Linked DNA regions of Canis lupus familiaris. The protein of the gene in region 1 interacts with the protein of each later gene in a pairwise test. Links are inferred from orthologs where the notes say so. Each region holds a gene or a part of one and is shown on either strand. Other genes may lie near its edges.

What was found.
Region 2: the proteins of PLD1 (region 1) and PEA15 interact in a two-hybrid assay, tested with the Homo sapiens proteins (2 studies listed by BioGRID). The link is inferred for Canis lupus familiaris from reciprocal best matches to the Homo sapiens genes PLD1 and PEA15.

The regions. Positions count from the first base shown.
Region 1 is NC_049255.1:36,367,799-36,372,106, forward strand, and holds the start of PLD1 (phospholipase D1), read right to left. Parts: upstream 2,983-4,308; 5' UTR 2,960-2,982; intron 2,531-2,959; exon of another isoform or gene 2,479-2,530; intron 1-2,478. UniProt on the Homo sapiens protein: Function as phospholipase selective for phosphatidylcholine. Implicated as a critical step in numerous cellular pathways, including signal transduction, membrane trafficking, and the regulation of mitosis.
Region 2 is NC_049259.1:22,833,850-22,838,374, forward strand, and holds the start of PEA15 (astrocytic phosphoprotein PEA-15), read right to left. Parts: upstream 2,811-4,525; 5' UTR 2,637-2,810; intron 2,055-2,636; exon of another isoform or gene 1,999-2,054; intron 1-1,998. UniProt on the Homo sapiens protein: Blocks Ras-mediated inhibition of integrin activation and modulates the ERK MAP kinase cascade. Inhibits RPS6KA3 activities by retaining it in the cytoplasm. Inhibits both TNFRSF6- and TNFRSF1A-mediated CASP8 activity and apoptosis.

The DNA.
Region 1 (4,308 bases):
AAAGATAGGATTTGTACAATTCCTTTTCTAATCAGAAAAGTCACAGGCTTATGGGAAATTTAGGTTACAAGTTTCTCATTTTCACTCTGCAACAATAATTTATCCACACCCCAGCTGGAGAATACATTTTATTGTGTGGTGCTAACACTTAGGGGATTGTAACCATAAAACCAGGCCTGGCACAGGGACAGCTGTGTCCCGAACACAATGACTCAGACCAACTGGGAGTTTAAAGAGCCATATCTCATGTGCTGAGTCCTCCAGCACCAATGTTTAGTGAACACCTGGAGGGCAGAAGAAATTGCCACACCCAGCAGCCAGCTTGGCCAAAACCGCTTCCAGTTACTAAAAGGGTGCCACGACCTGAGCTCAAGCATCCTCCAGATACAAGCCCCCGCAGGGCTCAGGGAGACAGAAGTACTTAAGTTCTGTGCAAGATATTAGGGACGGAAACTACCAGTAACAGTAACTGCCTCCTGGATTCCTCCCCTCTTGATAGGTAAACTTCAAAATACCCCTTATATACAGATTTCAGCAGCTCACCAGCTTATCCTTTAATAGGAACTCAGCAGATCTCTCCTGAGGGAGCTAAGATGTACTAAACACCAACTGGCTGTGGCTTCTCACCTTTCCTCCTTAAAAGCGCATTTCCGTAAAGCTGTGGGAAGGAGCTATTCTACGCATTGTAGTTTTCATGAGAAACCTAAAACCTGCAGCACAGTCACCGGCATCAGGGCATCACCATGTTTTGAAAACCCTACAAGGCAGATGACATGTCTTCTGCGGATGGACAGTGGTGATGAGAACCTAACAATGAAAAAGCGCTTCGGGGGACTGAGCTGTAGGCTTACAGGCGGTCAAGATGGCAAATTTTGTTACCTTTTTGCCACAATAAAAATTAAAGAGCTTAACCTCTGTAAGACTTGAAGGTAAATGAATTTCGTGATATATTTTGATTAAGAAACGCACACTGGGGAACCAGACAACTTCCAGGAAGCAGAGTCTCCCCCCACCTAGTTTGAAGTGAGTCAACAAACCTCCATGGGCCCTACACAGCCCTTGTCACTGCGGTGAACAGGGACACACGCGGTAAGGGCGCGTCCTCCTCCAGGCCTGGACTACTGTGCACTTTACAGGACTGCGAGCGGCAGTGGCTCCTGGAGGGCCGGATCGGAGCTCACACGTTTAGCGGAAAGGTCCCCAAACAACATTTAAAGGCTACACACAAATTGTGTGTGTAGCTCACAAAACGTCTAATATGGAAAGAGGCCTTTATCCCAACAGGCGGGGTGTGAACCTGGGGTGTGAGCGGCTCCAGCCGCGGAGGCCCTTCACCCCTAGGCTGTCCCTTCCGGCCTAACTGCCTCTCGCTGCATCGCGCTCGCGGGGTACCTGGTCCCCGGGGCCCTCGGGAGGTCGCGGCGGGGGCAGGGGGGCCGGGAGGGCCCGGACCAGGGCACCGGCTCGCTCGGGCGGCCCGGACCGCGCAGGGCGGCGGCAAAGGGCCCCGGATCGGGCGGCACCGCGCGGCGGGGACACGCACACCCGCCCTCTCCCTGCGCCCGGCCCACACCCCGCGTCCCCGCCCTCCCCCTCCCCCTCCCCGGCCGGTGGCACCGGGCGCCCCGACCCGCACCGGCCCGGGGCAGCAGCCTCGCCCCCGCCACCCTCCTCCGGAGACCCCGAGACCCGCAGCAGCCTCGCCCCCCCCCGGAGTCCCTGCAGCTCCCCGCCCCCCCAGGAGCCCCCAGCACCCCCCCAGTCCCCCAAGCGCCCCGCCCCCTAGGAGCCCCCAGCACCCCCCCGGAGTCCCCCCAGCGCCCCGCCCCCCAGGAGCCCCCAGCACCCCCCCCAGTCCCCCCAGCGCCCCGCCCCCCAGGAGCCCCCAGCACCCCCCGAGTCCCCCAAGCGCCCCGCCCCCTAGGAGCCCCCAGCACCCCCCGAGTCCCCCAAGCGCCCCGCCCCCTAGGAGCCCCCAGCACCCCCCCAGTCCCCCCAGCGCCCCGCCCCCCAGGAGCCCCCAGCACCTCCCCCGAAGTCCCCCCAGCGCCCCGCCCCCTAGGAGCCCCCCAGCGCCCCGCCCCCAGCCCGCCCCCCCGGAGTCCCCCCAGCGCCCCGCCCCCCAGGAGCCCCCAGCACCTCCCCCGGAGTCCCCCCAGCGCCCCGCCCCCTAGGAGCCCCCAGCACCCCCCCGAGCCCGCCCCCCCGGAGCCCCCCAGCGCCCCGCGCCCCGGAGCCCCCCGCCCCCCAGCTCCCCTCCCCCAGCCCCCGCAGCGGCCGCCGGGGAGAAGCGCGCTCCAAGCGCGGCGGCGGCGCCAGGACGGGCCCGAGGGCGCGCACCGGGGCCGCGGGGAGGCTGGTCCCTCGGGGCCGCGGCGGCCGAGGCCGAGGGGGGCGGGAGCGGCCGGCTGCCCGGGGCGGGACGGAGGGACGGCGGGACGGAGGGACGGAGCGCGGGCGGCGGGAAGCAGGTCCTACCTGCGGGGCAGGCGGGCGGGGCACCTGCGCGCTGCGGCGGCTCCGGGCCGGGCCCCTGGCACCGCTGGCCGAGGGGGGCGGGGGGGGCAGGAGGGGGCGGGGGGGGCCGCGCTGCGCTCCCGCCGGAACTCGCGGCCGCCTTGGCCGGACAGGGGTGGGGCGAGGCGGTGCCGGCCGGGGCGCAGGGCGCAGGGCGGGGGGGGGGCCCTGGGGCAGCGGCCCGGCCTCGCTCCTCCCTCTCCCGGTCCCTCGGGGCCGGCCCGGGTGTCGCCCAGCCGCGCGGACGCAGGCTCCTCGGCGGGCCCTACGCTGACTGCTCGCGGGGACCCCAAGCCCCCGGCCCCGGCGCAGCCACGTTGCAGGAGGGACCCGCGGGCCGACAGGTGTCCTAACTTGGGGCGACGCGGCCAAGAGGTGGAGCCGCCGCCCCACGTCCCCTGCGAGCCTCCGTCCCACCTGCTCGCCGGGTGCTACTGTTCACCTGGGGCGAGGCCACGGGGCCGGGGCGAGGGGCGAGCAGCCTGCAGCCTGCAGCCCACCCGGAGACGACGCCCTGCGAGCTCTTGAACACTCGAGATCTTAGCAGGGAAGGAGGAGTCGGGAGTAAAGCACGGAAACTTGGCATCGGGCCCCTGCAGCGCTTCAGTGCAGCAAGCTCCGTGCCCTTGGGGCCGCCCACAACGGTCTAGGAGAAAGGGAACCTGTTGCCTCGGGCCGACGGGAGGCCTCGGGGTCCGGCTCGCTGCCCCCTCCCCGGGGCCGAGGCCCAGGCCCAGGCCGCCGCCCCTCCGCCTGCGCCCACGTGCCCGCGACGATGCCCCTTGGAAGCCCCCAGTGGACACTGCCCGGCGGAGGCGGGCTGAGTTGCATAATGTCTTACTGCAAACGTGGAACTACATGAAACGAAAAATAGAATATTCCAGCCCAGGGGAGGGGGAGGGGGAGGGGAGGGGGAGTGAAATCGCAGTCTGGAACTCTTTTTTTTTTTTCCCCTGTAACCTATAGTTGCTCATCCCTCCCAAGACTACATTTTTTTCTCTTGAGCGCATCTTTTCCTAATGATAGGAGAGTCACACAGCCGTCCCTGCTTCCTTGTTGACAGAAATGATTGATGTCTTTAAAAAAAAAAAAAAATCCTCGGATACTGACAGGTTTTTACAATTAAGCACATGGCCCTCCGCGCGCAGTATTGCCTAAGAAGAGTTTGGCAAGGGTAAGACCAGCATGTTGCTAAAAGGCTGAAGAGCCTTTCCTCCTCTTCTTTCTCAAGTTTTATTAGTCACAGATGATTTGGTAAGTGTTCCGCACACAATCAACTGCGCTCTTCCAAGCTTGTCTTTAGAAACTGTGATGCTCCTGATAGAGAAGCAGCAGCCTCCAGGATGGCATCCCAAATGCCTAAGTGTCATCATTAAAACATTTGGCACTAACCTGAGACAACAGGTCTTTCTAGTAACTATAATTAAAAATAAAATTATTTAAGTCCCCTCGCAGTAATTGAATTTCTGCTTCTTCTTGCTAGAGGAATCATAGTAACAGTCCGCTATGGAGTGCCGAAGACAAATTTTAGATACAGTATGATTCTGGATGTAATTATTTCTGTTTTCCTGAGGGGATTTGTTGGTTGTTGCTGGTGTTTTTCCCGAATCTTGCCTGTCTTCAGACATGTCAAGAAAAAACTGACGATGAAATCCTATCATATATCCATCTGGATACGCATATGACATTTTTATCAGGCAAATGATATTCTAAATCCTCTCTAATTTTCATCTTTTCTTCTCAGGGTAAAAGTAACATATGTCCATGTTTATGATTTCTACCTTTATATTT
Region 2 (4,525 bases), on another chromosome or scaffold:
TCCAGGAGGCCCCAGGAGCGGGGTGGGGGGGGCGCACGGGGGTGGGACCCTGCAGTGGATGTGGGGCCCGGCGGGGGGGGGGGCACAGGTGCGGGGGAGGGGTGCATGGTCAGGGCACGGATGTGCACGTGTCAGCCCCGGGCGTGCGTGTGTGTGAAGAGCGTGAGGAAGGTCTGCAGGCACAGGCCCACGTCCAGAGGGGAGGGGACGGCGGAGGAGACCCTGCGGAATGGAGGCAGGCCTGGGAACGGCCAGGAGGCGGCAAAGGACAGACCCTGGGGGGCGGCCCGGGACTCAGCGGCTGCCATGGCAACCTCGGTTCTGGGTGCCCCCCAGCGCTCAGGACAATGACACCACTGGACGGGAGGGGGCGGGGAGTGGTGAGTGAGGAGGGCCGGCCGTGGGGAGGGGGCGGGGAGGCGGCTGGCGGCCGCAGGGCCACTGCCGGTCCCCTGGGGAATCCTGGGGTGCAGGGAGGTGCACCTCCTCACGCGGCCCTCAGGTCGCACTGCCCAGCGCTCGTCCCGGCTGGTGCGACCGCGGCGGGCTGCGCCCGGGCCGGTCACCGTCACCTTCCTCCCGGCGAGTCCCCTCCCCTCCCGGGATCACCCGGCAGCCTGGGCGGAGGCCCTTCTTGGGACAGGATACCGGGCAGGAACCGGCCCGGCCGCTGCCAGGAAGTCCGTCCCCTTCCCTCCCGATCATTCTGCGCTCTGCTCCCTGCTTCCTCGCACCTACCTTCCTTCCTTCCTTCCTTCCGCCGCCCCCCAGCTGCCCAGGTGGAGCCCCACGGACGTGGGACCCGCTGGGGACGCAGGGGAGGAGGGGCAGGGATCTGCTTGCTGGTCCTCGGGCGGGAGCCAGAGCGGGCCGGCTGGGGCTCGGGGAGCGCTGGGGGCGGCGGGCCAAGGGGACACCACCGCGGGGGGCGCAGCACCCCGAGAAGGCCGGGCGTCCCGACAGCACTTCTGGATCATCCCTAGCGGTGCCTTCCAAACCCCCAGTCGACTTGGGAAGAAAGCCCGAGGCTCAGGAGCCACTGCCCCCCTGCTGGCTACCTGTGGCCTGCGGGCGGGGGCGGGTGGACCAGGTGGCCTGGGTGGCGGGTGGGGGTGTGTCCCAGGAGCCGGGAGGGAGGCCCCAGCCTGGGGGAGGGGCGGCAGGCAAGGAGGGGGGCCCATGGGGCCCACTTCAGTTTCCACCTGGGCCCCTCGTTCGCCCCTCATTATCCTGAGTGTCACACGTCGTGGACCTCTGCCCGTAGCTTCCGTTCAGCCTCACCCTGTGACAAAAGCGGGGGGCTCTAAGACTCAGCCGCCAGAGGGGAGATGGGTCCTGGGGCCTCGAACGGTTCAGCGTGGCCTGAGAGCAAGAGGCTTAGCCCTGGGCACGGACACTGGGCCGAGCCTGTGGGACTTGACCCAGGTGGGGGCATGGAGTGTGCGATGGGGGGGGGCTGCCTCCTGGTGTGGGGGGGACGGGGGAGGGGGGAGGGGAGGGCCTCGCCTGCTGCTGTGTCTCCTCCCTGTCTCTCCCCTGCATCCAGCTCCTCCCCCCCTCCTCTCCCTCCGGTGGGCTTCCATCCCATGTCACGTGGTGCTGGCCCTGAATACTGAGGACTTGGGGGGGGGGGCCTGTGCCCCAGTGTCCGTGTCTGAACACTCGGGGCCCCTACCCCAACACCCATCAGGAAGGAGTGAGATTCCCAGCTGTACAGGGATCATCACTGTGGTGGGGAGGAGCCTGAGCGGGTTGGCTGTGCCCAGGTGGTGCTGAGGGTCTGCCTAGGAGGCATGGCCTCGGCCTTCCCCAAGGGTGCTGGGGTGGGCACCCAGGGAGGGCACCCAGGGCAGGGCACCCAGGGCAGTGCGGCCGAGCAAGCAGGCCGCGGGGGCTCTGGCGGCCTCGGGGGCTCTGGCACCGTCCCCGACGCGGCGCTTGGCCACAAAGGGAAGAGCAGCTACAGCTAATCGCTCTGACGGCCCGGGGGCCACTCACCCAGACACAAAACCCACAGATTCAGCCGTTTCCCAGCGCGAGCTCCGGGGCGCGCCCTCCCCCCGCCGCCCGCCGCCGGCCGCGTCCCCGTCCCTCGCGCACATTCCCCTCGTTCTCTCCCCCCGACTCGGGCTCCATCCTCGGCTGACTCATGCTCCTTCTCTCTCTCCCGCCCCCTCCTCCGGCCTTCCGCCGCCCCGGGGCGCAGACAGCGGCCGCTCCGGGGCCCCGGGCGCCCGGCGGGCCCAGCACAGCGCCCTGCGCGGCCCCGGGCCCCGGACCGCAGCCCCGGATCCCGGATCCCGCCCCGGATCGCAGCCCCGGATCCCGCCCGGGGGCACCGCAGGACCCGCCCCCCGCCCGTCCCGCAGCGGGTCGCCCGGGGCCGGGCACATGGAGGCCGTGGGGGAGGGGGTGCGTAGCGCGGGGACCGCTGTGATTTGCTGCGTGCGAAGCGGTGTGTGCACGAGTCACATGGGCGTGTGTCGGCGCGTGCCGCGGGCTCCCGTAGGTGTGTGTCCGGTCGGCTCCCGCCCCGCCCGCGCCCCGGGCCCGATGCCCCGACCCCGGCCCCGACCCCCGCTCCCCGGCCCCCGCCCCCGCCCCCCGCCCCCCGGCCCCCCGGCCCCCGCCCTCACCGCCTCGGGCTGAGCGCTCAGGGCGCGGTCTCCGGCGTCCCGGTCCTGGGCAGCGTCCGGAGCCTCCGCTCGGCTCCCGCCGCTCCTGCCGCCGCCGCCGCCGCTTCCGCCCGCCGAGCCCGAGCCCGAGCCCGAGCCCCAGCCCCGCGCGCGCCCCGCCCGGCCGGCCGCTGACGTCACCGGGGCGGGGCCTGCGGGGGGCGGGGCCTGCGCGGCGGGGCGGGGCCTGCGGGGGCGGGGCCTGCGGGGGCGGGGGGGAGCGGACCCCGCTGCGGGCCTCGTCCTCTCCGTCCTCGCGCGCGGGCACCGGGGGAGGCGACGGCGGAGGCCGAGGCCCCGGATCCCCCGAGCGGCCGCGGCAGCGCGGCGGCGGCCCCCTCCCCTCCACCTGGGCCCTCCCCCGGGGTGATGCCCGCGTGTCCCTCTCACCTTCCCCAGATGTCCCGCCCGCCGGCCTCCCCCCACCATGATGTAATTTGATTTTCTGGGAGGAAAAGAGCAGCAGTGAGCTCAGCGTGCAAATATAGACGCCGCCGTGCAAAGCCACGCTCAGCTCGGCCTCCCCTCTGCCGGCCGGCCGCGCTCTCACTTCCTCTCCGCCTCGGGGACTTTCCTCCCAGTCTCGGCCACACTGAAACAGGGAAGGAACACGGGGGGCGGGGGGCAGCAGTCTGCGCCCCACCTGCAGCCGGAGGGCTGTTGCCTCAACTCCGGCCGTGCGGCCCTGGGAAGAGGCCTGTGCCACCTCCAGCTGGGGAGCCCCCCGTCCTGGTCTACAGGCCTCCTGCCTCCTCCCTGCCCCCCATCACCACCCTCTGCTAGCAGGGCGTCCTCGTGCCCTGGCTGTGTGTCTCCTGCGCTGTGTCCTGGGACCGCAAGCCATTTCTCTGAGCCATCGGTGAGACCCAGAGACCCAAAGTGACGCCTGTACAGGGGCTGGGGCTTTGCACTGGCTCTGCCCCTCCCGGGGGGCAGGGTATGCCCCCAACGCCCAGCGCCCTCGCCAGGAGGGTGCACATGCTGCTGCCCCCCCCCCCCCCCATGCAGGGCTCTCCCCAGACGCAGAAATCCTGAGTGTCAGGAGTGGCGCAGATGGGTGCTCGGGACCCAGCCGCAGATGGGCAGGGGCCCTGCCCTGAGCTGTGGGGGCTGCCGGCTGCCTATGGTTGGCCCAGGGCCCACTCGGCGTATTAGACGCAGGACTGAATGGTGGCAGGAGCCCTCCGCCCCCTCCAGGGGCGCTTCCTGGGTTTGTCCAGGACAGTGACGTGGCTCCTGAACTTAGCCGTCCTGTAGTCTCAGCGGCACCTCTGTACCTGGCCCGTAACTGTCACGTCTGTGAATTCTGGGCAATCAGTGCCTTGGTCCCCCCCCACCCCCCCACCCCCCGACGGCATCCCACTCCCTTACCCGGACGCCAGCCTGGGCTGTGCTGGGGGCCGTAGGGAGCCTTCCTGCCCAGAACCTCAGCCGCCCAGGCCCGGGGGCAGGGTGGGGGGCCGCATGGACAGAACTCTGTGCCTCCTCTGCAGGGCGGGCCCTACTGGTGGCCTCTGGCCGTGAGGGCCAGGGGCCCCCTTCCCTCCCTCTGCCCACCTGCCCATCAGTGCCCTTCCTCCTGGCTCCCAGGACGAGACCCAAGCTCCACACACCCCGTGACACCCGCCCATCCTCGTGGGGCCCACTTGCGGGTCTCCTCTTGTCCTGCTCATCTCTTCTGCGCCCCCAGTATGACACCCACATCCTGCAGGTGCTTCTGATGCTCTCCACTGACGGGCAGGCCCCTTCCCTGCCTCCTCTGCCCCGTCAGCCCCCACTCTTCACGGAGGGAGGGCCTAGCAAGGGCTCACTCCTTGGAGCCTTCGGAGCCCGCTGCGTGGTGGCCGCTC